Neurospora crassa OR74A: one gene and its partners. The protein of the gene in region 1 purifies or fractionates together with the protein of each later gene. This does not show direct contact. Links are inferred from orthologs where the notes say so. Each region holds a gene or a part of one and is shown on either strand. Other genes may lie near its edges.

What was found.
Region 2: the proteins of crp-10 (region 1) and NCU00225 purify together in Saccharomyces cerevisiae (affinity purification with mass spectrometry; 3 studies listed by BioGRID). This does not show direct contact. The link is inferred for Neurospora crassa OR74A from reciprocal best matches to the Saccharomyces cerevisiae genes RPS3 and STM1.
Region 3: the proteins of crp-10 (region 1) and NCU03009 purify together in Saccharomyces cerevisiae (affinity purification with mass spectrometry; 3 studies listed by BioGRID). This does not show direct contact. The link is inferred for Neurospora crassa OR74A from reciprocal best matches to the Saccharomyces cerevisiae genes RPS3 and ZUO1.
Region 4: the proteins of crp-10 (region 1) and por purify together in Saccharomyces cerevisiae (affinity purification with mass spectrometry; 3 studies listed by BioGRID, with this or other methods). This does not show direct contact. The link is inferred for Neurospora crassa OR74A from reciprocal best matches to the Saccharomyces cerevisiae genes RPS3 and POR1.
Region 5: the proteins of crp-10 (region 1) and NCU08944 purify together in Saccharomyces cerevisiae (affinity purification with mass spectrometry; 3 studies listed by BioGRID, with this or other methods). This does not show direct contact. The link is inferred for Neurospora crassa OR74A from reciprocal best matches to the Saccharomyces cerevisiae genes RPS3 and ARD1.
Region 6: the proteins of crp-10 (region 1) and NCU01160 purify together in Saccharomyces cerevisiae (affinity purification with western blotting; 3 studies listed by BioGRID, with this or other methods). This does not show direct contact. The link is inferred for Neurospora crassa OR74A from reciprocal best matches to the Saccharomyces cerevisiae genes RPS3 and DBP5.
Region 7: the proteins of crp-10 (region 1) and NCU08323 purify together in Saccharomyces cerevisiae (affinity purification with mass spectrometry; 9 studies listed by BioGRID, with this or other methods). This does not show direct contact. The link is inferred for Neurospora crassa OR74A from reciprocal best matches to the Saccharomyces cerevisiae genes RPS3 and ENP1.

What each region holds. Positions count from the first base shown.
Region 1 is NC_026503.1:4,035,196-4,039,186, forward strand, and holds crp-10 (40S ribosomal protein S3), read left to right. Parts: upstream 1-1,288; 5' UTR 1,289-1,448; coding exon 1,449-1,471; intron 1,472-1,730; coding exon 1,731-2,496; 3' UTR 2,497-3,491; downstream 3,492-3,991. Other genes in the region: NCU11185 (protein phosphatase), read right to left, coding at 1-300, 364-387. UniProt on the Saccharomyces cerevisiae protein: Component of the ribosome, a large ribonucleoprotein complex responsible for the synthesis of proteins in the cell.
Region 2 is NC_026503.1:3,075,185-3,079,368, forward strand, and holds NCU00225 (hypothetical protein), read left to right. Parts: upstream 1-1,384; 5' UTR 1,385-1,542; coding exon 1,543-1,560; intron 1,561-1,869; coding exon 1,870-1,888; intron 1,889-2,021; coding exon 2,022-2,180; intron 2,181-2,242; coding exon 2,243-2,408; intron 2,409-2,469; coding exon 2,470-3,064; 3' UTR 3,065-3,844; downstream 3,845-4,184. UniProt on the Saccharomyces cerevisiae protein: Ribosome preservation factor that protect a small pool of nontranslating, vacant ribosomes in cells under nutrient starvation conditions.
Region 3 is NC_026501.1:8,457,541-8,461,345, reverse strand, and holds NCU03009 (zuotin), read left to right. Parts: upstream 1-1,486; 5' UTR 1,487-1,583; coding exon 1,584-1,877; intron 1,878-1,951; coding exon 1,952-2,995; 3' UTR 2,996-3,305; downstream 3,306-3,805. Other genes in the region: NCU03007 (pre-mRNA-splicing factor slt-11), read left to right, coding at 1-455; NCU03008 (hypothetical protein), read right to left, coding at 720-823, 891-1,064, 1,149-1,206. UniProt on the Saccharomyces cerevisiae protein: Component of the ribosome-associated complex (RAC), a heterodimeric chaperone complex involved in regulation of accurate translation termination and in folding or maintaining nascent polypeptides in a folding-competent state.
Region 4 is NC_026505.1:5,561,133-5,565,145, forward strand, and holds por (outer mitochondrial membrane protein porin), read left to right. Parts: upstream 1-1,213; 5' UTR 1,214-1,550; coding exon 1,551-1,595; intron 1,596-1,901; coding exon 1,902-2,024; intron 2,025-2,162; coding exon 2,163-2,193; intron 2,194-2,550; coding exon 2,551-3,053; intron 3,054-3,124; coding exon 3,125-3,274; 3' UTR 3,275-3,664; downstream 3,665-4,013. Other genes in the region: NCU04303 (asparagine synthetase 2), read left to right, coding at 1-511. UniProt on the Saccharomyces cerevisiae protein: Non-selective voltage-gated ion channel that mediates the transport of anions and cations through the mitochondrion outer membrane.
Region 5 is NC_026505.1:5,781,090-5,784,622, forward strand, and holds NCU08944 (N-acetyltransferase complex ARD1 subunit), read left to right. Parts: upstream 1-1,414; 5' UTR 1,415-1,506; intron 1,507-1,617; exon of another isoform or gene 1,618-1,630; 5' UTR 1,631-1,749; coding exon 1,750-2,062; intron 2,063-2,244; coding exon 2,245-2,642; 3' UTR 2,643-3,033; downstream 3,034-3,533. Other genes in the region: NCU08943 (3-oxoacyl-(acyl-carrier-protein) reductase), read right to left, coding at 40-836, 891-942; NCU08945 (RNA exonuclease 3), read right to left, coding at 3,328-3,533. UniProt on the Saccharomyces cerevisiae protein: Catalytic component of the NatA N-terminal acetyltransferase, which catalyzes acetylation of proteins beginning with Met-Ser, Met-Gly and Met-Ala.
Region 6 is NC_026505.1:3,084,549-3,088,497, reverse strand, and holds the start of NCU01160 (ATP-dependent RNA helicase dbp-5), read left to right. Parts: upstream 1-1,149; 5' UTR 1,150-1,511; intron 1,512-1,716; 5' UTR 1,717-1,741; coding exon 1,742-2,469; intron 2,470-2,522; coding exon 2,523-2,760; intron 2,761-2,817; coding exon 2,818-3,303; 3' UTR 3,304-3,949. Other genes in the region: NCU01161 (actin polymerization protein Bzz1), read right to left, coding at 13-224, 302-346. UniProt on the Saccharomyces cerevisiae protein: ATP-dependent RNA helicase associated with the nuclear pore complex and essential for mRNA export from the nucleus. May participate in a terminal step of mRNA export through the removal of proteins that accompany mRNA through the nucleopore complex.
Region 7 is NC_026504.1:2,401,756-2,405,899, reverse strand, and holds NCU08323 (bystin), read right to left. Parts: upstream 2,729-4,144; 5' UTR 2,565-2,728; coding exon 1,945-2,564; intron 1,884-1,944; coding exon 1,755-1,883; intron 1,692-1,754; coding exon 1,519-1,691; intron 1,451-1,518; coding exon 1,232-1,450; intron 1,178-1,231; coding exon 1,037-1,177; intron 961-1,036; coding exon 800-960; 3' UTR 501-799; downstream 1-500. Other genes in the region: NCU16789 (hypothetical protein), read right to left, coding at 282-357; NCU08324 (DNA-binding protein HGH1), read left to right, coding at 3,088-3,108, 3,179-3,328, 3,397-3,510, 3,584-4,144. UniProt on the Saccharomyces cerevisiae protein: Required for normal export of the pre-40S particles from the nucleus to the cytoplasm.

The DNA of each region.
Region 1 (3,991 bases):
GATGAACTCGAATGCCTCCCGGGCTTCCTTGTCGCCTGCGAAGTTGAAGCTAACATATGTAAAATCTCTGAACCGAATACGTATCGAGGAAGGAACGCCACTAGAAGGGGGCGTGGGCCGTAGGGTGCACTGTGAAATAATGTGGAAGGCAAACCACACTTGCTTCACACTCTTTTTCAGACTCGGATCTGCGGCAGTCAAAGACTCGGGGGGAAAGCGGAAGACGAGATGGTAGTCACTGAGCGCAAGGTCGCCGAGCTCCGGCTTTCCGCCTCGCAAGGCATGGATGTTTGCGAAAGTCTGGCATTCGGTTCAGTAAAGAAAACGAGACGTAGTTGGAAAGGTAGATGATGGAGAGCATACGTGCTTGAGGTGAGGCGCCGCCATCGTGATGTTGGGAGGTAATACTAACTACCCCGGCACTATGAGGCGCTGTGCAGCCGAGGTAGGAGACCGGACGTCCGAGACCCAATGTGTCCGGACAGGAGCGCAAGACGTGTTGACAGATGCGGTTGCGGCGAGAGGAACGGGGAGAATAGAATCTGCTTCGCTTAAGATGTATCGTAGTTGTACAATAGTGCCAGACTGCAGGACTGGGAAACAGAAAAATGTACCAATTAGGAACATGTGTCCTGATATAAACGAAAAGGAGGAACTTCGCCGCGCAGTCACTGGTGCCGGTCAACGATAAGTGATTCACGCGGAACTTGTTGGGATTTCAAGAGATTGTCCCCGAGGTCCACGTGGAATCGATTTGGAGGACAGGTATTTAAAGGCGACAGGGACTGGTAACTTTGTAAGCTACAGAACCTCTGCTGCTAATCCTCCTGCCGTCCGAATCCAAGGGTATGCGAATAGTGACTGCGATTTGCGAACAAGCAGAAAGTCAGCATCTGGAGTGCAACGCGCTCTGGAACCGGGGAAGCGACGATTGACGTCGATGGACACCCCACTATCAGCGCCACCCCGAACCCGACTGAGGACGGAACGTTCATGGTGCCTGCCGGTGTCAGAAATTGCCCGAGCCAGCAACGACTGACAATCAAAGGAAGTGAAGTGCACGAGGTGGTCTGGGCGCAAGGCTGGGCCTGGACGGGGACGGGAAGCGCAAGGAAGCACCTCAACCCCACATGTGAGATCTGTACGTATCTCCTTTTTTGGGTTGCGCTTGGCGGCTCCTACCTAGCGTTGGGCGCGCAGACTGGGTGCGGATTGCCAGCCGCTTGCCAGCCGGGATGAGCCGTGGCGGCTGTTAACCCTACTCAGCCAGCCACTCAGAAGCGGCAGAGGGCAGCCCACCAAGGAATTCGCAAAAAAAGTAGCTGTGCCGGTCGAATTTCCCCCCATCTTTTTGAAAAGTCCGGTGAACACCGCGAGAAGGTATCCCACTCCATCCTCCTCAGCAGCACAATTGAAGCCCTCAGGACCTTCATAGCCAAATCGCAAAAATGGCTGTTCCCGGCACCCAGATGTAAGCAACCAGAGCAAACCAAGAGCATGGAAGCCTCCTACATGTCTACTACACGTCTTCACGACTGTCTACACGTCGGTGCGATCTGCTGCTGCTGTGGGGGTGCAAATGCAAAACGAAGGCGTTCAGTCACGAAGCCGGGAGATATGCTGCCCGCTGGTTGCAGCAGATTCAGCCGACGGGGTGGGATTTAGAAAGTGGTGGCTTGGAAAACAACAAAAGCGGCGTTGATGCTGACTGCTTCTCTTTCTGTCTACAGTTCCAAGCGCAGAAAGTTCGTCGCTGATGGCGTTTTCTACGCCGAGCTGAACGAGTTCTTCCAGCGCGAGCTCGCTGAGGAGGGCTACTCCGGTGTCGAGGTCCGCGTTACCCCGACCGTCACCGACATCATCATCCGCGCCACCCACACCCAGGAGGTTCTCGGCGAGCAGGGCCGCCGCATCCGTGAGCTCACCTCGCTCATCCAGAAGCGCTTCAAGTTCCCCGAGAACTCTGTCTCCCTCTACGCCGCCAAGGTCCAGAACCGCGGTCTCTCCGCCGTCGCTCAGTGCGAGTCCCTCCGCTACAAGCTTCTCAACGGTCTTGCCGTCCGTCGTGCCTGCTATGGTGTCCTCCGCTTCATCATGGAGTCCGGTGCCAAGGGTTGCGAGGTCGTCGTTTCCGGCAAGCTCCGCGCTGCTCGCGCCAAGTCCATGAAGTTCACCGATGGCTTCATGATCCACTCCGGTCAGCCCGCTAAGGACTTCATCGACTCTGCCACTCGCCACGTTCTCCTTCGCCAGGGTGTCCTCGGTATCAAGGTCAAGATCATGCGCGGCTCTGACCCCGAGGGCAAGTCCGGCCCCCAGAAGTCTCTCCCTGACGCCGTCACCATCATCGAGCCCAAGGAGGAGCAGCCCGTTACCCAGCCCATCAGCCAGGACTACGGCGCTAAGGCCGCTCAGGTCCAGGCTGCCGCTGAGGCTGCCCGCCAGGAGGAGCAGGCCGGTGAGGAGGAGGCCGCTGCCCCCGCCGCTGAGGAGTAGGATAACCTCAAGGTCGGGTCAAATGAGGTTTTGCCTTCGATCGAGGTGCCTGTGTCTTTCGACGAGCCTGAGGTCGCTCCTGTGGCGGAGTTCAATTTCGGCGCGGACGATACTTCCATTGTCTGGTAAAGGCCGCTGGGTTTGGGCGGGGTCTTTTTTCAATGTGCTTGCAAGTCCAAACAAACACTGGGTTGCGGAAATGGATGGGTTCAATTTGGCGTCAACTATGGTCATAGCACATTTGCATTAAGACTTGCGAAAAGGGGAAATGGCGGACGGATTGTTGCTTGGGATTATAATTGTTTTTTGTAACCCCACGATCAATGCAGCAACGTCGGGAAATTCCTGACTTTCGCCAGGGAAATAAGATACCTGAACAAGCCCTCCTTCCTTGCCTTGTTTTGCGATTGCCAATTGTGCCATATCCTTTTGTGTGATGAAGGAGACTATTAATGGAATATAGGCACCAATCTAAGTGAGGCATGTGAAGAAATTCGTCCGTAGGTTTGTTGATATGATATCATGGCCTAAATCGGGACATGGAATGTAAGCAGGTAAACATCAGCCACTCTCAGCTCAAGTGTCCCGCAAATATCCAACCGTTCAAGATTTCCCGTCTTTGCATAGTAGCTTCACACCGAACATTTGACGAACACTGGAGGACTGATGAATGTTAACATACACTAAATGAGCTCTGTCTTCACTTGCTCCGACGTTGTTTTGAAATACACGGTTACACCGACTTTGGATATTCAAGCTGACAGACTCCTGCTCAATCGTTCAAGACTTAACAAATAGATACTTCGAGACAAGTAATCTGGATCTTGTTCTGGCACCAGTCCCTTGTTTAAAAAGGGAGGAAAAGGATATGGACGTTTGAGGGGAATAATACACAACTTGGAGGTATAACAGTAATGGAATATAGTGTCTAGGGGCAGTTAGGACTCGGAAAAGTTGGGAATATGGGATCCTATGAAGGGGTAACACATCATTAAGGCACCCGCTCGTACTTGGAACCAATAAGAAACAAGGTAGAGATACTTCACACGTTGTACCTAACTCACGGAGAAGAAGAAGAGAGTCAGGACACGCATAACACTTTTCTTGTTGTATTGGTTTCAATCATCCATCTGTCTTGGTCCCCATATATAAATGAATCCCTTGTGAATTCCCTCCCTCCTTCTCCTCCTCCTCACTTCGATCTGTTGTCTATATCTCCGGTCTTTGCTCTGCTTGGTCTGAAAGGTGCTGTGTTGTGTGTATAGATCGACAATCAATTCGCTCCATTCGTTACAGATTTTGGGGGTGCCTCGGGTTCTTCTTCACTTATACGCCCCTCTTTATACATCTTCGTTTACCCTGAAGACTTTCATGGTATACACTCAGATAAATCCTCAACTATCCCTTCAGAAGAGGGAACTCTCCTTGATGCAGACCTCGAGACTGCGGTCTCGGATTAGGCAAGTTCGGTCAAACTTGGTGGTGGGGCCCATAC
Region 2 (4,184 bases), about 960 kb from region 1:
ACACGAAAGACTCGATGTTGGGTGAAAAGCAAGACACGAGAAATGCAGTAGAATCTTGAAAAGGCAGATGAAAAGGAGAGAAAGGAATTGCAGAGCTACACAACAAAGAAGGAAGTCGACTTGCATATTGATCATGATGAAATGGCTCTCCGCGACTTGTTATCCGTACAATAACTGGATTAGTTGATACCGATATCTCAGGTTAACTAACCTACAACAAAGAGACATTTGCTGATGGCTATCTTCCATTCTCGATGCGAGGACAGGACTCTAATGTGGTAAAGGTTATGTATTTTGCAGATGTATGTCCATCTCCGCCTCGAAGGGCCACGAGGAAGTAAACAAGTGTGTTAAAAAGGGGAGCTTCAATTCATGAATTCAACATCCATTGGCAACTGCTTCGACTGGCGAACGGTACTCGTCCTAATATAGTTGCTGTTTGAGCTTCGTCGCCACAGCGTCCACTCTCTGCCATGACTGTCAGATGCAAACCAACGGGTGAGTCCATCCAGAACCACACTTGTGGAAACGCATGCAGAGCCGCTGTGATTTGAGGGTGATGCGGTTCAACAGACACGTAGAACCTATACAACTTCCAACACTGTTCTACATCATGGCATATGGCAGACTTTCCAGAGAAGTCTTGAATGAAAGGAAGTAAGATAGAAGTAGGGGTTGGAAAAAAAAAACAGAAAGAAAAAGAAAAAAAAAGGTGAAAGGTCCACGCTGCATATCAAACTGCTCAAGTGGTCCGTGATGACCTCTCCAATGTGGCCGTGATCAAGCACCTGTTGGCAAGCCGTCAAGCACAGCAACCAAGGTAATACTTCCCCAAGAAAGACATGACGTCCGGTGTCTAAAAGCACGACGGCAATGCGTGCCTTTTTGGCATGAAGTCCGTTGACAGGAAGTCCGGGGTGCTTGAGGCAGGTCCGATCTCATAGAAGGCTGTCACCTCAGCAGGAATGCGTCAACTTGGCATATAAAGCGGCAGCTTCCGTCAGGTGTTTGTGACGGATGTGTTTCCAGTGGTTTGTTTACCTTGGTGACGATGATGTCTATGGTCGTGAGTGGTTGTCGTCGCAGCTGCAAACACTCTGCCAAGACTTGCCGGATTGGGAGCAGAGCTCAAACAGGCAAAGTTACGGCGTGTACGGATCGATACGCACGTCACATTGGTAACAAAGGGCAGGCAGCGTGCAAAGTGGTAGCCCTAACCACCAATAACAGCGGCGCACTGAAATTTCACCAAAAAGCCAAAACGGCAGTCAAAGTTGGAAGCGGGGAACAGCGGCAAAGAGGGCCAGAGCAGGGCCTTGGAGGGGAGATTTGGTGCAGGTGGGCGGGGCACGAGCGTCTCTGTGATCCGTGCCACTGCCAAAACCTGGTCCGAGCTCCCTGTGGCCCGGGAGCGATTTGCCAAAATCTTTTACGACACCACAGCGAGCATCAGACGTCGTTGTCGCTGTCGTCCGCCCCCCCTACCCAACCCCGTCTAGAAGAAGCGCATTGAGTCAGGCCAACGTCCTGTCAAGCGCAAAGATGTCGGTCGCTTCCAAGGTGTGTTTATCTCTCTCCCCGTCAATCTCCGAAATGGCCGGTTTCACGGTCGGCCGAGAGCTGCATGCTGTGCAGCGGATATGGATGACCCCGTGGTTGGACCTCGCCGTGAAATGAAACTGAGAGCTTCATTTTTGTTTCCGAGCGAGTCCGCCAACACCGGCTCCTTGCGACAATTTGGGATCCGAAAGAGGAGGGAGGCTTGGAGAATGGGGATCCAGACGCACAGCGAGCAGCAGCCGGCCATACCGCGAAAATCTAGAGCTCAAGACAGCAAGAAACTAACCGATTGCGATTCTTTTTCTACAGAACCTGTTCGATCTGCTCGGTTGGTTGCCCACCCTCCTGTGAATTACGGAACCCACGCGACGGCACACTCGAAATTGGCAGGGCGAGGAGGAACATTGAACACCGCAATCCAAGGAACCACCAATACTGACGGATCGATTGTTTTCATTCAGGCAACGACGTGGAGGATAACACCGCTCCCGCCGCCCCTGCTAAGATCGTCGAGAAGACCTCGACCCACACCACCAAGCGCAACTCCGATGGCGTCGCTCCCAGCAAGGCCCCCGCTCAGGGCTCTGGCCGTCGCTCTAACTTGACCGGCAACGAGGCCGGTATGTTGATCATCCAACATGCTAACCATGGCTACCCTCTCAACTGACATTTTCGGTCCCAGCTTTCCGCGACCGCAACGCCGGCAGCGACCGCAACCGTGGCAAGCCCACTGAGGAGGGTGCTGCTCGTGGTCCCCGCGGCGGCGCTAACGCCCGCGTCCGCGGTGGTCGCGGTGGCCGTCACCCCCGTAACACCTCGGATGACCGCCACTCTAAGTCCATCCCCTCGTATGTTCCGGTCAAGCAATTTCTAGCCACAGGCACCTCCGTCCACTAACACCCTGACTAGCGGATCCGAGAAGCAGGCTGCCCTTTCCTGGGGCGCCACCGAGGGCCAGGCCGAGCTGAAGGATGAGCAGGCCGCCGAGGAGATCGCCAAGACTGAGCAGAAGGAGGCCACCACCGAGGGTGAGGCCGCCGCTGAGGCTATCCCCGAGGAGGAGGAGGAGAAGCACGTCTCCTACTCTGAGTACCTTGCCCAGCTCGCCGAGAAGAAGGCCGCTCTCGAGGCCGAGGCCGCCCTCAAGGTCCGCAAGGCCAACGAGGGTGTCGTTGAGGACAAGAAGTGGGCCAACGCCAAGCCCCTCAAGAAGGATGAGACCGAGGAGTTCATTGCTGGCTCCGCCGGCAAGAAGCAGCGCGAGCGTGAGCGCAAGGTCAAGCAGGTCCTCGAGATCGACCAGCGTTTCGTCGAGCCCGAGCGTCCCGCTCGTGGTGGTGCCCGCGGTGGCCGCGGTGGTCCCCGTGGTGACGCCGGCCGTGGCCGTGGCGCTCCCCGTGGTGCTGCCCGTGGTGCTGCCCGTGGCGGTGCTCCCCGCGCCGAGAACAAGGCTGCTCCCATCAACCCCAACGATGAGTCTGCCTTCCCCAGCCTCGGCAACTAAATGCCTCTCAATATCGGCATAACGACCATACATCGAAGCCAGACTATTCAGTCACACGGCCCCCCCTTTATTTTCTCTTCGAGGCGGCAATGTCAGAATCAGGATGGCGGCGGGTTGGGATAAAAAAAGCAGCCAGCATGGGGTCGGTGTTCGTCTGTTTGGTTGCATTCACCTTTAGCGGAAAAGTGGTTCATGAACACCGGAACCGTGAAAGAGGTTTTCCTTATCTGTCCACCACTTACCGCGGAATCGAACAAAGTAAAACTGTTCAAGCTCGAAAGTTGAAATTGCGCGCGTTCGTATGACCTGGTTCCTCCCCGTATCTATCCCCTTTCCTTCCATGCATGAACGTTATACCTAGGATATATTTCACTTTTTACCCGGTTCAAACCGCAGACAAAGGATGGGATGGCAACCATCCAGAGGGCAAAAAGACACACACGCTATAGTCTAGGTGGCACTATGACATAGCTCGACCATGGCAAGGTCGTAAGAATGGACATAAGACAGGCTTGTTTTGGATTAACACCCAATATGGCATCTGGCAAAAGGCATCAGGCAGAGCAGCAATATCAAAACAAGTGTTTTGGATTCCTCTGGCAAAGGCACAACAAGCTGACACTGATCCGTGACTTGTACTCAACACTGTGTTGGCTGTTTAAGTGCACTTTTCGATGTCTCACTGGACAAGTGAAGTTCTTGCTGCACCGTGATCTTGAACTGACTGGTCGCCATAGGCACATAATAAGATGGAAAATCACTGACGATGATATTGACACACAAGTACTTGTAGTAGACCTTTTCATTTCCATTTCAAACTCCGAACTCGGCGGTTCTTACTAACCACCCCTTCACTATGACCTAGGTCCAGGTAAACAGACCACTCTTTTGTGTCCCTTTCTTGTCTTGTGCAAAACACCCTCTCCATCACAACCCCATGATTACTTATCCATATCACAGCCGCCATACCATACAAGACATGACCTGATGTACATTTCACTTCCATGACAACACTAGCGATATCTACCTTCAATCTTACAACCTTTCTCTCTCTCCATCCTCTCCAAGTTACATTCTCAACCTCGAGGTTCCCTCCCTCATCCTCATATGCTTCGAAGAT
Region 3 (3,805 bases), on another chromosome or scaffold:
ACAAGAGCATAATGTCCCTCTTCGTCACCGGTATCGAAGATGATCTGCCTGAGTTCAAGATTCGCGACTTCTTCAAGGCGTTCGGAAAGATCAAGTCGCTGGTGGTGTCGCACATGTCGCATGCCGCGTTCGTCAACTACGAGACTCGGGAGGCTGCTGAGAAGGCTTCAGCGGAGTGCAAAGGCCGTGCTGTCATTGCCGGATGCCCCTTGAGAGTTAGATGGAGCGTGCCCAAGGCGTTGGGAACAATGAACAAGGAACAGCGTTCGGAGATGCTACGAGATGGTCGGTCGGCCTTTGGCAGTGGTCAAAAGACAGGTGGCCAAAAGGCGATCGGGGGACAAAATGCCCAGGGTGGCGCATCAGGAGCGCAGAAAGACGACGCATCTAACCTCACTATCGCAGCGCCGCCCGGTGCGGCAGACGTACAGTACGCCAGTCTCTCTGGCAACTAAGCGGGGTCAGAAAAGTGCTTATTAATCATGGTATTGCAAGGCGTTCGGAGGCTATTATGATTTGGGGTTTGGGCTCAGGGTATCTCGGATACGTTGCATTTCCTGATATCGCATGGTCTCTTCCACTAGTTTTCTACATTGAGGGGTATCATTGATGATTTATACATATACACGGGCAACGGCACTGTCCTGTTGTCCCATTACGTTCTCACGAACTTGAGCTTCCAAAATCCTTGTGTTATCCAACCATGGTTTTGTATTCACTTATGCCGAGCAGCACTTCTGCTCGCCGCCGATCTTGATGGTCTGGTTGCCTAGCTTGATGGTATCGTTGTCGCCGCGCTCGGTGTCCTGGTGAATCCGTAGCTCTGCAACGAACATGGAGTCAGCAACCATATTCTGTATATGACTCGAGCACCCCTAGACTTCGCTCACTGTAGGTCTCGCCGTCCTTACGGCCCTGGACGACATTGGATCTCAAAAAGCTGGCAACTTCCTCGGCATGCGCAATCGCAGGCGCAATCGTAGGATCGTTGGCGGGAACGTTCTGGTTCTCGCGGAAACCACGGCGGATGGACTCGTAGGCGGCCGTAAGGGTGCGGTTATCGCCTAAGATAGTGGCACATGCCGGTCAGTCCGGGGAGCTACATGGGCCGGCGGATGCACCAAGGAGACTGCAGGGGAACATCGTACCATCAAAGGCAACTCTCGCGGCGCGCATGAGGTGACGGTAGGCTTGAAGGGCAGACATGTTGACAATACTGCTGGTAAACGAGGGTCATGCAAGGGAATGCAGGTTCTAAAGAAAGTAAATAGTATTGTATCGCCAACTTCCGGTCTAACAAAAAGATTCAAGGCTTGTCTGGAAACAGTTGCAGTGACGGCAATGCGACCTCCAAAAATGTCGCCCAGGACCGGGTAGGCTTGCCGGCCGGAGTGGACTTGGAGTTGCGATGATTGTGATTGGCGGTCGATAAGCAAGATGTGGGGAGCTTAGCCATCGAAAAATTTCCAGAATTCCGTCGGTAAAAAGACAACAGAGGGGCCCCGCCTATACAAGCTTCTGGTTCCTGCGCCTGTCACTGTCTCCCAACCCAACCATCACCATCCTCATCATCGGCCGCAAAAATGACTACTGTGGTTCCCCTTCCTCTCCCCACCCTCCCTGAGGGCTGGACCGCCGAGAAGGACTTCAAGCCCATCGGCAAGATTGCCCAGAACGAGGCCACCCAGCGCACCATCGAGCCCGTCGGCCCTCACTTCCTCGCCCACGCCCGCCGCGCCCGCCACAAGCGCACCTTCTCCGAGGATGACCGTATTCAGGCCCAGGAGCGTGCCAAGAACGTCGAGGAGGACAATGAGAGCGACCTCAGCGAGCCCGAGGACCCCATGATGCTCTCTCGCGACGCCAAGGACTGGAAGGTTAGTGCTCAGCGTGTAATGGTGTATCACGCCACGCAAGACCTTGACAGCTAACCTGATTGCCCCGTATACAGCAACAAGATCACTACAAGGTTCTCGGCCTTTCCAAGTACCGCTGGAGGGCCACCGAGGAGCAGATCAAGCGCGCTCACCGCAAGAAGGTCCTCAAGCACCACCCCGATAAGAAGGCCGCCGCTGGCCGCACCGAGGACGACAACTTCTTCAAGTGCATCCAGAAGGCCACCGAGGTCCTCCTCGACCCCATCAAGCGCCGCCAGTTCGATTCTGTTGATGAGGAAGCCGATGTCGAACCCCCCACCAAGAAGCAGCTCCAAAAGGGCAACTTCTACAAGCTCTGGGGCAACGTCTTCAAGGCTGAGGGCCGTTTCAGCAACACCCAGCCCGTCCCCAGCTTCGGCAACGAGAACTCTACCCGCGAAGAGGTCGAGAACTTCTACAACTTCTTCTACAACTTCGACAGCTGGAGGTCGTTCGAGTACCTCGATGAGGATGTTCCCGATGACAGCGAGTCCCGCGACCAGAGACGCCACACCGAGCGCAAGAACCTCAACACCCGCAAGAAGAGAAAGGCTGAGGACAATGCTCGTCTCCGCAAGCTGCTCGATGACTGCTCGGCCGCCGATGAGCGTATCAAGAAGTTCCGCCAGGAGGCCAACGCCGCCAAGAACAAGAAGAGGCTCGAGAAGGAGGCTGCCGAGAAGAAGGCCGCTGAGGAGGCTGCTGCCAAGAAGGCTGCTGAGGAGGCTGCCGCTAAGGAGGCCGAGGAGAAGGCCAAGGCGGACCGTGAGGCAAGCAAGAAGGCCAAGGAGGCTGCTAAGAACGCTGTTAAGAAGAACAAGCGTGTCCTCCGTGGCTCCGTCAAGGATGCCAACTACTTCGTTGAGGGCGATGCTTCTGTTGCCACCATCGATGCCGTTCTCGGTGACGTTGAGCTTATCCAGGCCAAGATCGATCCCGATGAGATCGCTGCCCTCGCTGGCAAGCTCAACAACCTCAAGGTCGCTGACGAGATCAAGGCTGTCTGGAACGAGGAGGCCGCCCGCCTTGTCGGTGCCGGCAAGATCAACGCCGGTGACCTCAAGGCTCTTTCTGCTTAAATGATCTCTTACCGAGTCATGAGATAATAGTGAATGATCATGTTGGCGTTTGTCTATCACTACTAGAATCTAGACCTGGAGAAAAACAGAGTTGTTGACTGATACCATTGGAGATGGAGTATACTTTTTTCCTCGCCAGCCAACTTCTGCTTCGACGTGTGATGTCGTATCTCTGGTTGTCACTGCTACAGAGATCCCTACTTGCTGTGATGTTGAAAGTGGGTCCAAACTCTGATGATGAAGCGCATGAGTTGGCCGGTAGGCTCGATCATCTCTTCAACGATTCGGATAAATCCTGAGAAACAATACCTACTGCTAAGAATGACAGATCTACCCCTATCCGGCTACAATCATAATTCCATACGCAGGTACGCATAACAATGCTTTACTGCTCGCTCAGTCTTGGTCCTTTTTAGTACGGTAAAGCTTCATGCACAAGCACGCTTGTACATGCCATCTTGAGCGGCAACTGTAAAAGCATCATCACATGCGCATGTGGCAGATGCAACTAAGTACATAATTCACGATTACATGCGTGTTTCGCCGACGACGCAGGTACATTTCTTATCAGATGGAAAGAACAAGAAGGAAAGCTCACAAGGCACATATAAGTCACTGCTAAGCAAGGGAACAAGTCCAGGGCCCTTCAAACCGTTGATCGCAAAGCTGAGGTACAGCCACCTTGAACTCCTAGGTGTACTGTTCCCGGAAAGTCTGAGCCATTCGATTTCCGGAAATTTTCGATCAGATGTCAAGCTTGAACTCACTCTCAGTCCATGTACGTAGGTACTGTAGTACGCCAAAACCTGC
Region 4 (4,013 bases), on another chromosome or scaffold:
CTTGGCCGACTGCCTGCGCGCCAACAAGTCCACCTCTGCTTGGGGTCTTGAGGCCCGTGTGCCCTTCCTCGACAAGGAGTTCCTCGAGGTTGCTCTCAACATCGATCCCCAGGAGAAGATGATCACCAAGGAGAAGCTCGAGAAGTACATCCTCCGCAAGGCCTTCGACACCAAGGACCAGCCCGAGGGTGCTTACCTCCCTGACAACATCCTCTACCGCCAGAAGGAGCAGTTCTCCGACGGTGTCGGCTACGGATGGATCGACGCTCTCAAGGACCAGGCCGAGCTCCAAGTCACTGACGAGATGATGAAGAACCCCAAGCCCGAGTGGGGTGACGACATCCCCGATACCAAGGAGGCTTACTGGTACCGCTGCATGTTCGACGAGCACTTCCCCCCTTCGTGCGCGTCTACCGTCATGAGGTGGACTCCCAAGTGGGTCAAGCAGACCGACCCCAGTGGCAGAGCCATCTCCATTCACCAAGCCAAGTATGACCACGTGGACGAGTAAAGCAAAACAAGAAAATAATAAAACCAAAAAGGGAAACCATGGATAAAGAAAATGGGGACTGGAATGTTTAAAAGCTTGGCATCGGGATTACAATGCAGGGCGTTATATGGGGTCACAATAAACGGATCGCGTATACCTATACTAGCCATTAACCCAGCATAGAGATGAAGACAAAAAGTGATTCAAAACTCTATGTAGCAATTGGCATGTTTGTGAACAATGGTGACCGTTTGGATGGGACTGACTTCGTATTGAGCAAGGTTCGGGTGCAATACACGAACGACAAGTGAAACAACCTAAGCAAGACCTATTCCAAGCAACAGACGGTAATGAAGATGTGAGTACGAGAAAAGGGGATGACAATTATGCGTATGCGATAGATAAAAGATGCTTGCATTATGTGGGTGCTATGAGATGCGGGCCTTTTCCGGACGACACAAATGCACTTGCGGTCTCGAGATGAAAGGGCTGACTGCAGATGATATGGTTTGCCTCAGCTTCAGTCTGTGCCCTGATTGTTTACCTTTGGAGAAGGCGTGAAAGGGGGCCATGACGCTGAAAGGGGTTAGGGTTAATGGTGTGCATGAACGGGCTGGTTTCGTCAATGGCGTGGGGTCGCGATTGGTGCTGCTTCAAGCTTGTCATGGCGAGCCTACTAGCGCTGCCGAGCTGCCAAATGCACACGGCGAGAAAGACCAATCACGACTCCGTCTAAGAAATTTATCGGGACATTGCACCTGGTCTTGGGGTGTCTCTGGTGTTCCCAACATTTCCATTTCCACTTTTCGGCTGGAGCTTCCCAGACCCGACGCCGACTTCCCAACCCAGTCGCCAGGCTCGCCAGAACCCACCAGAGAGAGGCCCCCCCGCCGTCAGTCGCAGCCGACCCGACTGAGCTTGCTGCTCCCCGCCGCGCGCAACATAACCGCAAGCCTTTTCTCTCCCGACTCCCGTCTCCAGCTCGCGTTCTTGAACTCCGCAACCTCACTTTCTCCATTCACCATCATACCCGTGTCGCCCTCACACAACATCTTTCACAATGGCTGTTCCCGCTTTCTCTGACATCGCCAAGTCGGCCAACGACGTAAGCAAAAATCACGCCTCCCTGTGCTCCGCACCCGAGCTATGACGGCGACCTGTTCGATCGATGTTATCGAGAGACGTGTTTGTCTGTTTGGCTGGAGAAAGCTGTACAAGCTCCAAAACTGAAGCGGCATTTCCCCATACCTACCTACACATCCCCCTCTCGCGATAGCTCGTCGATGCCAATGTCCACGAAGCAACATCGTCATCCTCCTCCACCCCCACCATGATTGAATGATTGGGCCCTGGTCCCCATGCACGCACTATAATGTGTCGCTAACCATGGACTTCTTTGCGCGCAATATAGCTCCTCAACAAGGACTTCTACCACCTCGCTGCCGGCACCATCGAGGTCAAGTCCAACACCCCCAACAATGTCGCCTTCAAGGTTACCGGCAAGTCCACACACGACAAGGTCACCAGCGGTGCTGTACGTTACCTCCTCCCTCCCTTGGGGCTCTCGGCGCAATGCCGCGACAGCATCATACCACCTTGCTGTTGCGCCAAACGCCCTCCCTTCTCTCATGTTGCCAACGGACCAAGCTGACCTCTTTTGCGTGACTGATAGCTCGAGGGCAAATTCACCGACAAGCCCAATGGTACATATCACTCTTCTCTTACATCTCTGTCTTCTTCTTCTGGTCCCCCTTTTGGTCCCCTTCCTCCCGGCGCACCACTACCTCCTGGCTTTTGCATTGTTCACAGACGCGTCCACAAAGACGAAAAGGCCAGGAATTGTCATCCCGACGGAAGTTTAGCCGCCCACGACAATGGTACTGCCAACGTGAAACAACCAAAGCAGAGGCCTTCAGCGCGTGTTCGGCCGCTGGTAGACTTGAATTTCTCTCTAGGCGGCGTCATCGGTCCTCGAGTTCGGGGACGACCCCTCTACTTCAGCTTTCTCCATTATCCGTATGCGAACCTCACGACAATGCTAATGTACTGGCGAACAACAGGCTTGACCGTCACCCAGACCTGGAACACTGCCAACGCCCTTGAGACCAAGGTCGAGATGGCCGACAACCTCGCCAAGGGTCTCAAGGCTGAGGGTATCTTCTCTTTCCTCCCCGCCACCAACGCTCGCGGCGCCAAGTTCAACCTCCACTTCAAGCAGAGCAACTTCCACGGCCGTGCTTTCTTCGACCTCCTCAAGGGCCCCACCGCCAACATTGACGCCATTGTCGGCCACGAGGGTTTCCTCGCTGGTGCCTCCGCTGGCTACGATGTCCAGAAGGCTGCCATCACTGGTTACAGCGCCGCTGTCGGCTACCACGCCCCTACCTACAGCGCTGCCATCACCGCTACTGACAACCTGAGCGTCTTCTCCGCTTCTTACTACCACAAGGTCAACTCCCAGGTTGAGGCCGGCTCCAAGGCCACCTGGAACTCCAAGACCGGTAACACCGTCGGCCTCGAGGTCGCCACCAAGTACCGCATTGACCCCGTCTCTTTCGTCAAGGTATGTTATTGCTGTCATTCCGTTTATGGAACTTCTGTATGCTGACCTGATGTTTCTTTCCAACCGTATAGGGCAAGATCAACGACCGTGGTGTCGCTGCCATTGCCTACAATGTTCTCCTCCGTGAGGGCGTCACCCTCGGTGTTGGTGCCTCTTTCGATACCCAGAAGCTTGACCAGGCCACCCACAAGGTCGGCACCAGCTTCACCTTCGAGTCTTAGAGTAATCGCAGGACACATGTGAAGAAGCAGCGGCGTAATAGTATTCCTTCGAACAAATTCTCAACTGGAATAGATAACCCCCCTTTGCTGGCATCGTGGAGCCTCCCCTTCCAGTAGTGATATTTATTTCTTTTATGAAGATAGTGAAGATGACGAACGTTGCGCCCTGCTTCGGGTGGCTGACTGATAGGATGAGTTTGTGTATAACTGGTTTGGGCTTTTGTGTAACGAAGAGGGCCAAAAGTTCTTGATAGAGTTGTAGCGTCTTTGATGGACATGGTTACTGTAATTAGGCTGGAGACGGAAACCAAGCGCGATCTTTACACTACTTAGATTATAAATACCCATAGCGATTTCAAACACGCTCATTCAGTACTTACTTTTCAAACACCGTTGAAACTCCAAAGGGCTGTGCAATGAAGTGAAGCATCAGCATGTAATTGTTGGTGGCATTCTTTGCTGCAAGCAAGGCTTAAACCCAGCCAGTTAACTAAAGCTGGAGGGATAGAGCTTATTCAACGTGTTGTCCGCAAATCGATTCCCTACACCTCGACTAGAGGAGATACGATACTAGCTATATATAGATAGGTACCTTTAGTACGGCGAACACCCAGCATGCAAAGATGCGTATTGAATTGGAACAGATCTTCTCGGCACACAGTTCAAGCTTCATCAACTTCTCATCATCTTCTCAAGAGCTGAATTATGAATGTAGTCTGTTGTCACACAAAGCTCTTCT
Region 5 (3,533 bases), on another chromosome or scaffold:
TTCATAACCCTACTAAGTTCATCTTCCTCGAGAATACACTTAATGCAACATCAACATCCCCCCATTAGCACAAACAACTTGTCCCGTACACCACCCCGCCTCCTCACCACACAACATGCCCACCACCCCCGCAATCTCCCCCGTCTTCGCCAGCCTGCCATGCCACTGCTTCGCCTCCTCCACGGCCTCCTTGCCATGCAGATCCTCCCGCGCCTTCATCAGCGGCGTGTGCTTGATCCACCCCTCGATGCCCTCCAGAAACTCCTCCGAGTTGGATGCATACATGGGTCCCTCGACCGGGCCTGGGTTGACAGCGTTGACTGTACAGTTCTCAGCCAGCTCGCGGCTCCAGGTACGGGTCATGGCTTCGATGGCCGCCTTGGAGCCGCCGTAGACGGACTGGCCTATGAAGCCAGTGGAGGAGGAGACGGAGGAGATATTGACGATGCGGCCAGAGCGGTCCTTGGGGAGGTAAGGCTGGGCAGTCTGGACGAGCAGCAAGGGGCCTAGGACATTGACACGGTAGGTTTCCGTAAAGTCGTCCACCTTGACGTTGGGAATCAGGTCGTTGCGGGCGATGCCGGCGTTGTTGATGATGATGTCGATCTGGAGGGAGCCATCGGCCTTGGAGAAGGCGGACGTGGCGGCGGTGATGATGGCTTGGGGGCCTTCGGGAGTGCCAATGTCGGCTTGGACGGGCACGGAGGAGATGGAGTAGGTCTTGTTGAGACGGTCGGACAGCTCGGAGGCTAGGGAGGCGGAGGAGGGGGTGGTGTAGTTGAGGATGAGGTTGCAGCCTTTGGAGGCGAGGTTCTCGGCGATGGCGGCGCCGATGCCTGGAGATTCTTAGTGTCTTGAATGTGAATTCAAGAAGCATAAGAGTTACTAACCTCTAGAAGAGCCGGAAACAATGGCAAGCTTGCCCTTGAGTGGTTGGGACATTGTAAGTGGTGTTGTCGTTCTGGTATGAGTGATCTATGGTGGGGTAGCTCGAGGCTGGGTATCAAGAGGGTATCACAGCAATCACACACACAAGAACAGAAGAGACGACAATGAAAGTCAGAGTCAATTGAGCATAGGGGAGCGGAAAGCTCTATATACATTCACCGCCCGTCACGAGAACATTGTCCAACTTCCTCATTATCGGCTAGTATTACTGTCATGAATTCAGAGAAGCTTTCAGACGAAGCTCCCCCGCATCACATTGCATCCACGGCGCGCTTGGCCCGGTGTTGACTGCCCCTAGCTCCCGGGCTTGTCTGCCCCGCGATTTGTGCGGCTATAGCAGCCGTCCCACCATCATCCAACCGTGAAGCTGTGCCGCCAGGGGTCAGGCCAGTCTGGATTCCACACGGGAAGTGCCCCACATTGGAGTGCGGATTGTGGATCCAGAGCCTCCCACCACCGTAGCGCAGCGTCAAGCAGTCTCCAATTCAACATTGACAAGTTGTGAACTGCGACCGCAACACCGAACCACCGATCCCTGACATAGGCGACTCGCTTCTTGTAAGTTCGACCCCCGTTGAAGACTGCTCCGTATCAGCTTGGTACTATCCGTTGCTGGGGATACCTACCCTAATACCCTGCCGTCGAGATAGCTGTTACTAACCAGTCCAGCTGCTTCTCCCAGAGCCCACCACCACCATCCCAAAGTTGAAGCTATCACCAAGTCGTCAACCCTCCCACTCTCTAAGTCACCACCAACACCACCATCCTTCCAGACCGAACCCCCCAATCCCAACAGCCACAATGGATATTCGCGTCCTCCGCCCCTCGGACATCCCTCTGATCCAGCACGCCAACATCGAGAACCTGCCCGAGAACTACTTCCTCAAGTACTACCTGTACCACGCGCTCTCATGGCCTCAGCTGTCGTATGTCGCCGTCGACGTGAGCCGCCCGGCCAAGAGCGCCTACGACTACCCCAAGATCGTCGGCTACGTCCTGGCCAAGATGGAGGAGGAGCCGACGGACGGAGTGCAGCACGGTCACATTACTAGCTTGAGCGTGATGCGCACCCATAGGCGACTCGGCATTGCTGAGAAGCTGATGAGGCAGTCTCGTACGTCGTTTCCCCCCCTTCTCCCCCCTTTCTCTCCTTATCTTCCTTTCTCTCCTTATCTTCCTTTCCTTTCTTTCTTTCTTCCTTTTTTTTCTCTCTCCTCGCTCCGCTCGACCTCTACCCTCCACACAAAAGCACCACCAACTAACCTATCATCTCACTGACGCGGTGTGAAAAAACAGAACAAGCAATGGTCGAGACCTTCGGCGCCCACTACGTCTCTCTGCACGTGCGCGTCTCCAACGCCGCCGCCATCCACCTGTACCGCGACACTTTGGGCTTCAAGACGGAGAAGACGGAAGCCAAGTACTACGCCGACGGCGAGGACGCCTATTGCATGAAGCTCGACCTGGCGCCCATCCGCGAGGCGCTTTTGGCCGAGCAGCTGGACGAGAAGGACGCCAAACCAAAAATCGAGGAAGGAAAGGGATCGGAAGGGGTGGATGAGGGTGAGGCGGTTGGTGATGTCGGTCGTGATCCTGAAGCAGACTCTAAGAAAGAGGATAAGACGGTCAAGGTCAAGGTCGGTAGGGGGTTAGGTGTGGGTGAGTTGGTGGAGAGGGATGAGAGTAAACACTAGAGATATAACTACTGCTGCTGTTACTGTGACGGTGTGCTTGTAAAGAGGGGAAGAAGAAGAAGAAGAAGAGCGTTGATATTAGACTTGGCATTACTGGCTGGGGTTTGGGAAAAGGAAAAAAGAAAGATTCGCTGTTTTTTTATTTACAGAAGGAGACGGGCGTCTAGAACTAAACCCTCCCCGAGCGATCACTTCGAAAATGGTGGGATGAATGCATACCCGGCGTAGCGAATTGGATGCAAAATAGGTGAATAGTCATGTAGTCAATTTGAGAGTAGTTGTTCAAATTGGTTCTGTAAATACCCATTGTACGGATTAGAAGAAAAGAAAAGAAAAGAAAAAAGGCTGGCCTATTGGAGGGAAAGGGGCAAAGTAAACAATGAACAAGTAGAAGGGCACAGCCAGAACAGAATTGGCAACATCACCATCAATTTTACAATGGAGCACTTCCAATGTGTCTACTAGTCCGAGCAGTAACGAATAAGCATAGCTTTTGTCTACTCATTGTGCCTATCGTTGCGAAATTCGCGTAATCACTTCAAGAAACTGGCAAACTTGGCAAACATACTACATTGTAGATTCTGTGTCGCAACAGAGCCCCCAAAGCCAACTGAATCTTCTCTTCACCACCAAATACTTTCCAGTTCGCCCAGCTTCCAAGTGACAAGACACCCCCGTCTCTAATCTAAACCTCAACCAATTCCCCCTCCTCCGTGCCATCCCTCGTCTTCCTCACTTCCGTCAGCTTCTCCCCACCACTCTTCTTCCCCTTCGAATCCTTCGGCGGCACAAACTCTCCATCCTTCAACGTCCACCCCTCCCTCTTCATTCTCGCCCACGTATGCTGGATCTTGAACCTGACCAAATCTCCCGCCGCCCTTGCGTCCTCCG
Region 6 (3,949 bases), on another chromosome or scaffold:
GCCTTGTCGTACCTCTCAAGGGACCCAGGGGTCATTGTGGGGGTGTCGCCGACACTCAGGCTCGTTGACTTTTTGGCTTTCTTGTCATAGTACTTCTTTGCTATTGCGCTCAGCTCGGCGCTATATCGCTTCTCGGCGGCGCTCCTTTCACGGAAGAAAGCCTGCACATCGTCAAAGAAGGCAATGTTGTTGGCCACATAGACATTGGCCGGTTTAAAGCCATCCTGCATGCGGGCATGTTAGTCCAAGGCCACCAGCACATGTTCAAGCCTCTGAGTAGGCCAGGAGAGATGAAGACAACCTTGAGCACGGTGCCAAAGGATGGCGCGATTTCGCCCTCGGCCATAGTTTGTTGGAGGAGCTTCTTTTAATATTGAGAGTTGTCGTCGTGGATAACCATGCAAACCAGTAGTCGGGTATACATGCAATCTAGACTTCGGGAGAGAATGAGTGGGACTGCTCCGTCGGCTGTCGTCGTGTCTGAATCGATGATGAATCGTGCTGTGCTGGTCCTGGGTATGTACAAGTAGCGGCAGGAACCCGTTGGGTCTTTGGAGGAATGGGCGGGACTGGCGGAGCGTTTGAGTGTTACTCCAAGCAGAGATAGAAGAAGCACGGCAGATACAGCGTTAAAAGAACAAGCAACTAAGTAGTAGAGCAAGAAAGCAAGAGACGGTAGGAGGTACCCCTCCAACAGCTGAAGGTGTGCTATGTAATCGTTCGGCTGGTTATCCCGGTCCGTACACCGTAGCCCGAGCAGCCGGCAAGACCTGAGTTGGGTACCTACCTAGAGGTAGGTAGTAATGATAACTGGGGTGCCGGTGGCTAACCTCGAGGTACTCAATTCAAGAAGGCCCCAGCTGTGCCGTCGGACCTGCGGCTTGGTCGGTGCTAGTGCGGTCTAGGCAGTATGCGTTAACTGCATGAAGATTGGTTCCGAAGAAGCATTCGTTCGTTACGTAACTCTAGGGATATGTTAGAGGTAAGAATTGGAATTCAAAAGACGGAAAGAGAAACCTCGTTTGGCCAAAGAAACAACTGAACTAAACACCTATGGACTTAAAGCCTCCTTAAAGAGACAGCGGGCGGGACCCCGGCCACCTGCACTAAGCCACCCGCTGCTGGCTCGTGCTTTGACCAGGCATTCTGGCCTCCGGCTTCTGCCAGGGCATCAAGCGTTAATTCCAGGGCAGGTACAGTACCAACTACACTACGGCACTACTTCTACACTAGAGGTAGAACAGCAAGTAGGTACGTATACTGCGTACACTAGTGTAGAGGAAGGTGCAGATGCCCCACTATCACTCTGGTTTGATGGCGTCGCGACTTCCTCTCAAAGTCAGCCCTGCCGCTGCCAGAATCTCTTTCTGCCAGCTTCCTTTTCCTTTCGCATTCCTTCTCCCGCCCACAAACCACTGCTGGCAGTTGCTTTGTGGTTACCAACAGCTCAAGATTTCCATCGGATCTCTTAAAAGAACATTTTGTTTACTCCAACAATAACTCCCTCCAAGGTAAGCTTGTCAGCTTGCGCCTCCCCGTCCTTGCGGCCTGGGCCTGACGCGTTGAATTGGGACGCGGGGCATCAAGACCTGACGAAGCGCAGCTTGAAACTTGACTCACCCACGTCTCGGCTTCTTGCTGTAACCGGAATATCCAAGGGGGGGCGAAAAAAATATAACGTATCGTACTGACCGTGCGATTTTTGATTCTTGCTAGCAGTCATCCTAATTACGACGTCATAATGGCTGATCTCGCCAGCCGCATCACCAAGCCCGACGAGGCTCCGGCTGCCGCCCCCGAGGCTGCGCCCGTGTCTGCCCCTGCGTCCGAAGAGCCCAAGGCCCCCGAGAACGAGACCTCCATCGAGGAGAGCCAGAGCAACCTTGTCAAGAACGAGTACGAAGTCGAGATTAAGTTGAGCGATCTTCAGAATGACACCGAAAGTCCTCTCTACTCCGTCAGCTCGTTCGATGAGTTGGGTCTCCCCGAGGCTGTCAACCGCGGTCTGCTCGCCATCAACTTCAAGAAACCTTCCAAGGTCCAGGAGAAGTGCCTTCCTCTCATGCTCTCCGACCCTCCCCGCAACATGATTGCCCAGTCTCAATCCGGTACTGGAAAGACTGCCGCTTTCGTCCTTACCGTTCTCTCCCGCATCGACCTGTCCAAGCCCCACCAGCCTCAGGCCCTTCTGCTTGCTCCCAGCAGAGAGCTTGCCCGCCAGATCCAGACCGTTGTCCAGACCATCGGTCAGTTCTGCGAGAATTTGATTGTCGAGGCTGCTATTCCCGGTGCCATCTCGCGCGAGACGGGTGTTAGAGGCAGCGTCGTCGTGGGAACTCCGGGAACTGTCATGGACCTTGTCAAGCGCAGGCAGTTCGATATCTCGCAGTTGAAGGTTCTTGTTATTGACGAGGCCGACAACATGCTTGACCAGCAGGGTCTGGGTGACCAGTGTGTCCGCGTCAAGAAGTAAGTTCATCTTTGGGCACTAGTGTTATGCGACCTTTACTGACATTAAGTAGCATGCTCCCCAAGACCATTCAGATCCTCCTTTTCTCTGCGACGTTCCCAGACAAAGTTTTGAGATTCGCCGAGCGCTTCGCACCCAACGCCAACCAGATGAAGCTCAAGCATAAGGAGCTTACGGTTAAAGGTATTTCGCAGATGTTCATGGACTGTCCTACCGAGAAGGACAAGTACGACATTCTTTGCAAGCTGTATGGTCTCATGACCATTGGTTCTTCCGTCATCTTCGTCCGGGTATGTTTTTTCCCCTCGAATACTGTTGTAGACATTTGCTAACGTGCTTTCTTCCAGACGAGAGAGACAGCCAACGAGATCCAGAAGCGCATGGAAGCAGATGGTCACAAAGTTTCGGCCCTTCACGGCGCCTACGAAGGCCAAAGCCGTGATGTTCTTCTCGATGAATTCCGCTCCGGACGTTCCAAGGTCCTCATCACCACCAACGTTCTGGCACGTGGTATTGATGTTTCCAGTGTGTCCATGGTCATTAACTACGACATTCCGATGAAGGGACCTGGCGAAAGGGAGCCGGACGCAGAGACATACCTTCACCGTATTGGTCGTACCGGTCGTTTCGGTCGTGTTGGTGTCTCGATCAGCTTTGTCCACGACCGTAGGAGCTTCGAAGCGCTCTCCCAGATCGCTCAGTTCTACGGAATCGACCTTATCCAGCTGAATCCCAACGACCTGGATGATACCGAGAGGAAGGTGCAAGAAGTTATCAAGTCGAGCAGGGCCCAAGCGGAGTACGTTCCCAGCGCTACTGATTCGGCCGTTTAGGTAGTTGGCCGATCAATGAGTGTTGAGGGGGAGTCGTCGTCGTTGAAGTCGTTGAAATCGTTCTTCTCTTCGGCGCCGCCGCCGCCGGAGACTCAGCAGTTTAGCGGATGGTGGTGAGCTAATACACAAGGAGTTTATCAACTGAACCATCTAGCGTAGGCGAGGGATCATGTCTTTTCATCGTTGCTGCGACATCAAGATGTTGGGAAGCCCAGAAGGAAAGGGTATGTGGGAGTGAACTCATGATGCGCATATTCCGTCATTCAAAATGGGAATCGGGAGTTTAGATCAAAGAGATACCAACAAGGGGCGAAAGATAAATAACTTTTGCAGTCAGCAAGATTGCTCAAGACGCGTTCGATACTACCCGACGTTGATACACCGGTAGACGCCAGGGTATCACGAAAATGTCAAGTGCATTGTGTCTCGTATGGAAGGGGGGGCAAAGAACGCTTATCTCAACCGCCGTGCTATACATTTATGCCCACCTCACGACGAAAGTCACAACACGTTGGGCTCAGCATCGCCCTCGGTACCATAACTTTACTTCGTGGTCCGAGTCCAGCTGGATAGTGGCGTAGTTCCCCTCCCTCTTTTTGTCTCCAGTCGTTGGGAAGCTGTTTACTCAAGACTGGTAGCATGTGGA
Region 7 (4,144 bases), on another chromosome or scaffold:
AGGTGGTGTCGGGATTCTTAGGCGAAACGCCAGAAAGCAGCGCCGAAAATCCTGATCTTGCGGAAATACTGAGTAGAACTTGGTGTCTCGGGGTAAGAAAGCAATCTCAAGAATAAATAGGGAAACGAGAGGGGCGGAGTGCTTAGAATGTTCGGGTTGACCGGGTGTTAGGAAGAGAACACTAGAAACTCGTATGGTAAAAGCACCTAATACGGGATGATGCCATCAGATACACGAGATATCGAAGTAGGCGAGAGCTACATTGCCTTCTTTCCCTTTACACTGTTCTCTCAGGATTCCGACAACGTGGCAGAGGATCGCGGTTGCCTTGGACTTGGAAAAATGGGAGAAGGGCATTCCAAGCCAGATTGACGCAACAAAGAAGTCAAAAGGCAGCTTCCTTCACATAACTGAAAATGATTATTCCAAGGCTCCTCGACAATTCCTGTTGCTGTACCGGGTATCTTGAATTTATAATTTCGTGCACTAAAGCATTACAGGTCGTCAACAATTATGTTGCTGGTTGGTCAGCACCACTAAGATACAAAGGGTAGTACATGGTGACTGACTTGGCATGACCACTTCCTCTTCAAGCGGCGTGATGAGTAGTAGCCACTGTCGAGGCGTGACATAGTATTATCAAAGGGGTCAATGTCTAAGGACTGCCCCAAGCCACCAAGGTCACTAAACAACACGACTCCCATCTCTATGCGCGTACCAGGTAAAAATGAGCCACATGTCCTCGTTGCATACCAAGGGTTCATCGTCTATAAGTCATTACCGGATCACCGATGTTTCTTCAAGCGTCCAGCATCGTGTCATCGCCATCAAATCCGGGTTGCGCGACAGGGACACCACCTCCGCGACCTGCGAGAAGTTCTCGCCTGATCTCGGGCGAAATCTTGTCATGGCCGTGAGTTAGGAGAAGATCCAGGAGAGCCTCTCGCTGGTCCTCAGTAACTACACAAAGACCGCGGTTAGTACTCAAAAATAATAGGGACGCATAGTGAAACAGCGACGGAAGAAGCAAACTCACTGTTCGTCTTGTATCTCTGTGCAAATGAGAGCATGCACTGATGGAAGATGACTGGTAAAGCGTTGGGTGCCATATGCCCGCCGGTGGCGAAAGCGGGATACCGAAGAAAGTGGAAGACGAGGGCATCGAGCGCTTGGAAGGCTGTATTACAAAGTCAGAGAATACAATCATTGGCACGCTAGGAATTGGACTTACGCAAGGCGTGACGTTTCTCAATCAGAGTCTTGAGGAGGAAATTCGTAGCGCTAACGCAGTCGAGGCGCTGAGAAGCCTGCGCAGAAGAAATTTCGCACAAGCCCTTAATGGCCATACCGGAATGAACAGCCGGAATGGTGACCCGGGTCAAAACACCGGCTACGATCTGCGCCTCACGCAGCGAGCACGTTCCGGAAGCCGCCAAAGGAAACAAGAAGCCTGCCAACGGTTAGCTGGGTTGTCCCTTTTGAGCAAACCTGACTAAGCGTAGGCAGTAAATAACACACCTTTGAAGAAACCACCAGGCTTGTAGAGGGCCTTTTTTAGGGAGTTGAAAAGATGGACATTGAGCTTCTTGGTCTCGTGAATGTCCTCGCGGACGCGTTCTAAGATCACCATCTCCATAAACCGTTGAAGAACAGCCTCCTTGGCGGACGCAAATATCCTGGTGGCCGCGTAGCTAACAATCGCAAATGTCAGCAGCGTTTCTCTGGCTCCCGAAAACAGGAAGAAGCAACCATACCAGGCATTGGGAGTCCAGGACTCGGGTTGTGTAATGGGCAAGATGTCCTCCCAGTGGGGGATCTGAGGAAGGACCTTGAAAGGCTTGGGAAGCGGCCCAGATTTGTAGCGAGAAAGAATCATGCCAATTCTGCGAGAAGGAGTCTGTCAGTAGTCTGCCAAGAGGGTAACAGAAATAACGGCCAGCCTACTTCTCAAACACTTCCATCACCTTTGGGGGGATCTCGTAATCCTCATCAATTGGGCCAGGCTCGTCGCGGTACCCGCCTTGGGGGCCGCCGGCTTCCTTCTCTGCGATCTTGGCAAGAATAAGGTCCGCCAGGTTCACGCTCTGACCCTGCTCTTCTGCCCCTTCTGGCTTTCCATCCCATCCGTGTGTTAGGAGCGGGTCCTCGTTCATTGTGGGTGTGATAAACTGGTTGAATGTCTCGAGATCGGTGGCGTCGACTTCGATTTCCTCTACCTCCTCCTCCTCTTCCTCGCCCCAGGCCTCGTCGTTCTCAAACTTGTCGTCTTCGTCATCGTTGCGGTCGAATCTCGATGGATCGAACTCGAACGCCGAAGGAGCAGATCCGGAGGCTGCGTTTTGTGTTGTCCGGAGGTTCTCCTCCTCCTCGATGAGGCTACGGCTCATAGCCAAAATGTTGCGCGAAGCCTTGGCGTCGACATACTTTTGCTCATCTTCGTCGTTGGCGGCGCGAGTGTTCTTGCTCTTTTTGCCGGAGTTGTTCTTAAGGACGCCGGTAGAAACGAGGTCGGCCTCGAGGGGGTTGTGGCGCCTCTTCGACGTCGCCGCTGTTGTCTTGGGCATCTTGAATGGCGGTAGGGTTGTGCAATCGGGGGAAGAGTTGATGATACGGAGCTCTCCTGGTTGTCCCCTCTCTTTGCGATGTCGACTTGGCTGCACACGGCAATTGGGGATATTTTTTTCGGCGACCCTTGGACAATTTGTTCCCGCCGTGGAGAAGTCTGGGCACTTGAAAGGCTTGCGCTACGCTTGTGGTTGGTCACTTCTTTGCTGTGTGGGCACACTTTATTTTCTGATGCCAGGGCGGTGAAAATGATAAGCGGTACAATACCTCTTATCGCTTATCGTCTAGCTTGGACGCGCCCGGCGGAGCAGCGATAAACATTTTATTGCCCCGCATTTTCGTCACTGTGCCCCTCTTCGGTTGCAAATTCCTGGAATTTTGTTCCCTGTGTTTACAGTTTTTGCAGCTTGGCCCACTGCATGAATAAGAGCAAGGGAAGTCGCGACATCATAGCCTCGCTCGCCACGGTTACGAGCTTATAGCAAGTCCAATACAACCATACATCCAGCTACCATTGATAACATGCCGACCGAACTTGAAGAGGTAATTCTGCCAGAACCAGTGCAGTGTCAATGTCAGTGGACAGACAACTAATCGCTATAATCGCCTGAAGCTCGTGGGCTTCATTGCCTCGCCGAACGCCAACATCCGCCTTCTCGCGACAGAGAACCTGGTGCCCTTCTCAGCGTCTCAGCCCGCCCTCTTCAAGACCGACGAGCTCACCCCCATCAAGCATCTCAAGTTCTTGATCCGCGACCACCCGGTAGGCCCAACAGACTTGTCTTGTTTGCGCCCAAGCAGCTTCAGCTAAGACGTCGGTACCATGTGCAGAAAATCGCCGAGCACGCCCTAACATGCTTGATCAACTTGACTGCCGAGAAGGATGTGCTGGAATACGTCGCGACCGATGATCGCTTCCTTGGAATCCTCCTCGGGCTTCTTGTCGTATGTGTATCCATTCTGAGCTCCTACGGTGCGTGCGCAGCAAGGACTAACCGCTTCGATCCCGTTCCTATAGGAGCCCGAGGAGGTTAACGCCAATCTTATGGCTATGTTGCTGGCAAACTTGACCAAGTGGGATGGACTCAAAAGTCTTCTAGACCGGAAACAGCCCGCTCCAGAGAAGCTCAAGTCCGACGATAGGGTCATTAACCAACTAATGGACCTCTTCGTCAAGGGCGCCGACGGGACTTACAACAAGCACGCCGATTACGACTACCTCTCCTACGTCTTTGCCGACCTTTCGAAACATGAAGAGATCCGGCACTACTTTGTCAACAGACAGGACTACGACGATGTTATTCCAATCAACAAGATCAAGGTCTTTACCGAACACAAGTCCGATATCAGGCGAAAGGGAGTGGCGAGCATTATCAAGAACGCTGCTTTTGACATTCCTTCGCACCCGGCGTTTTTGGATGAGGATGACGTCAATATCTTACCCTACATTTTACTTCCTATCATGGGCGGCGAAGTTTATCCCGAGGATGAGGCATTGGAAATGCTTACCGATCTTCAGCTATTGCCTCCAGACAAGCAGCGCGATCCCGACAGCAGCAACATCCTGACACACCTAGAA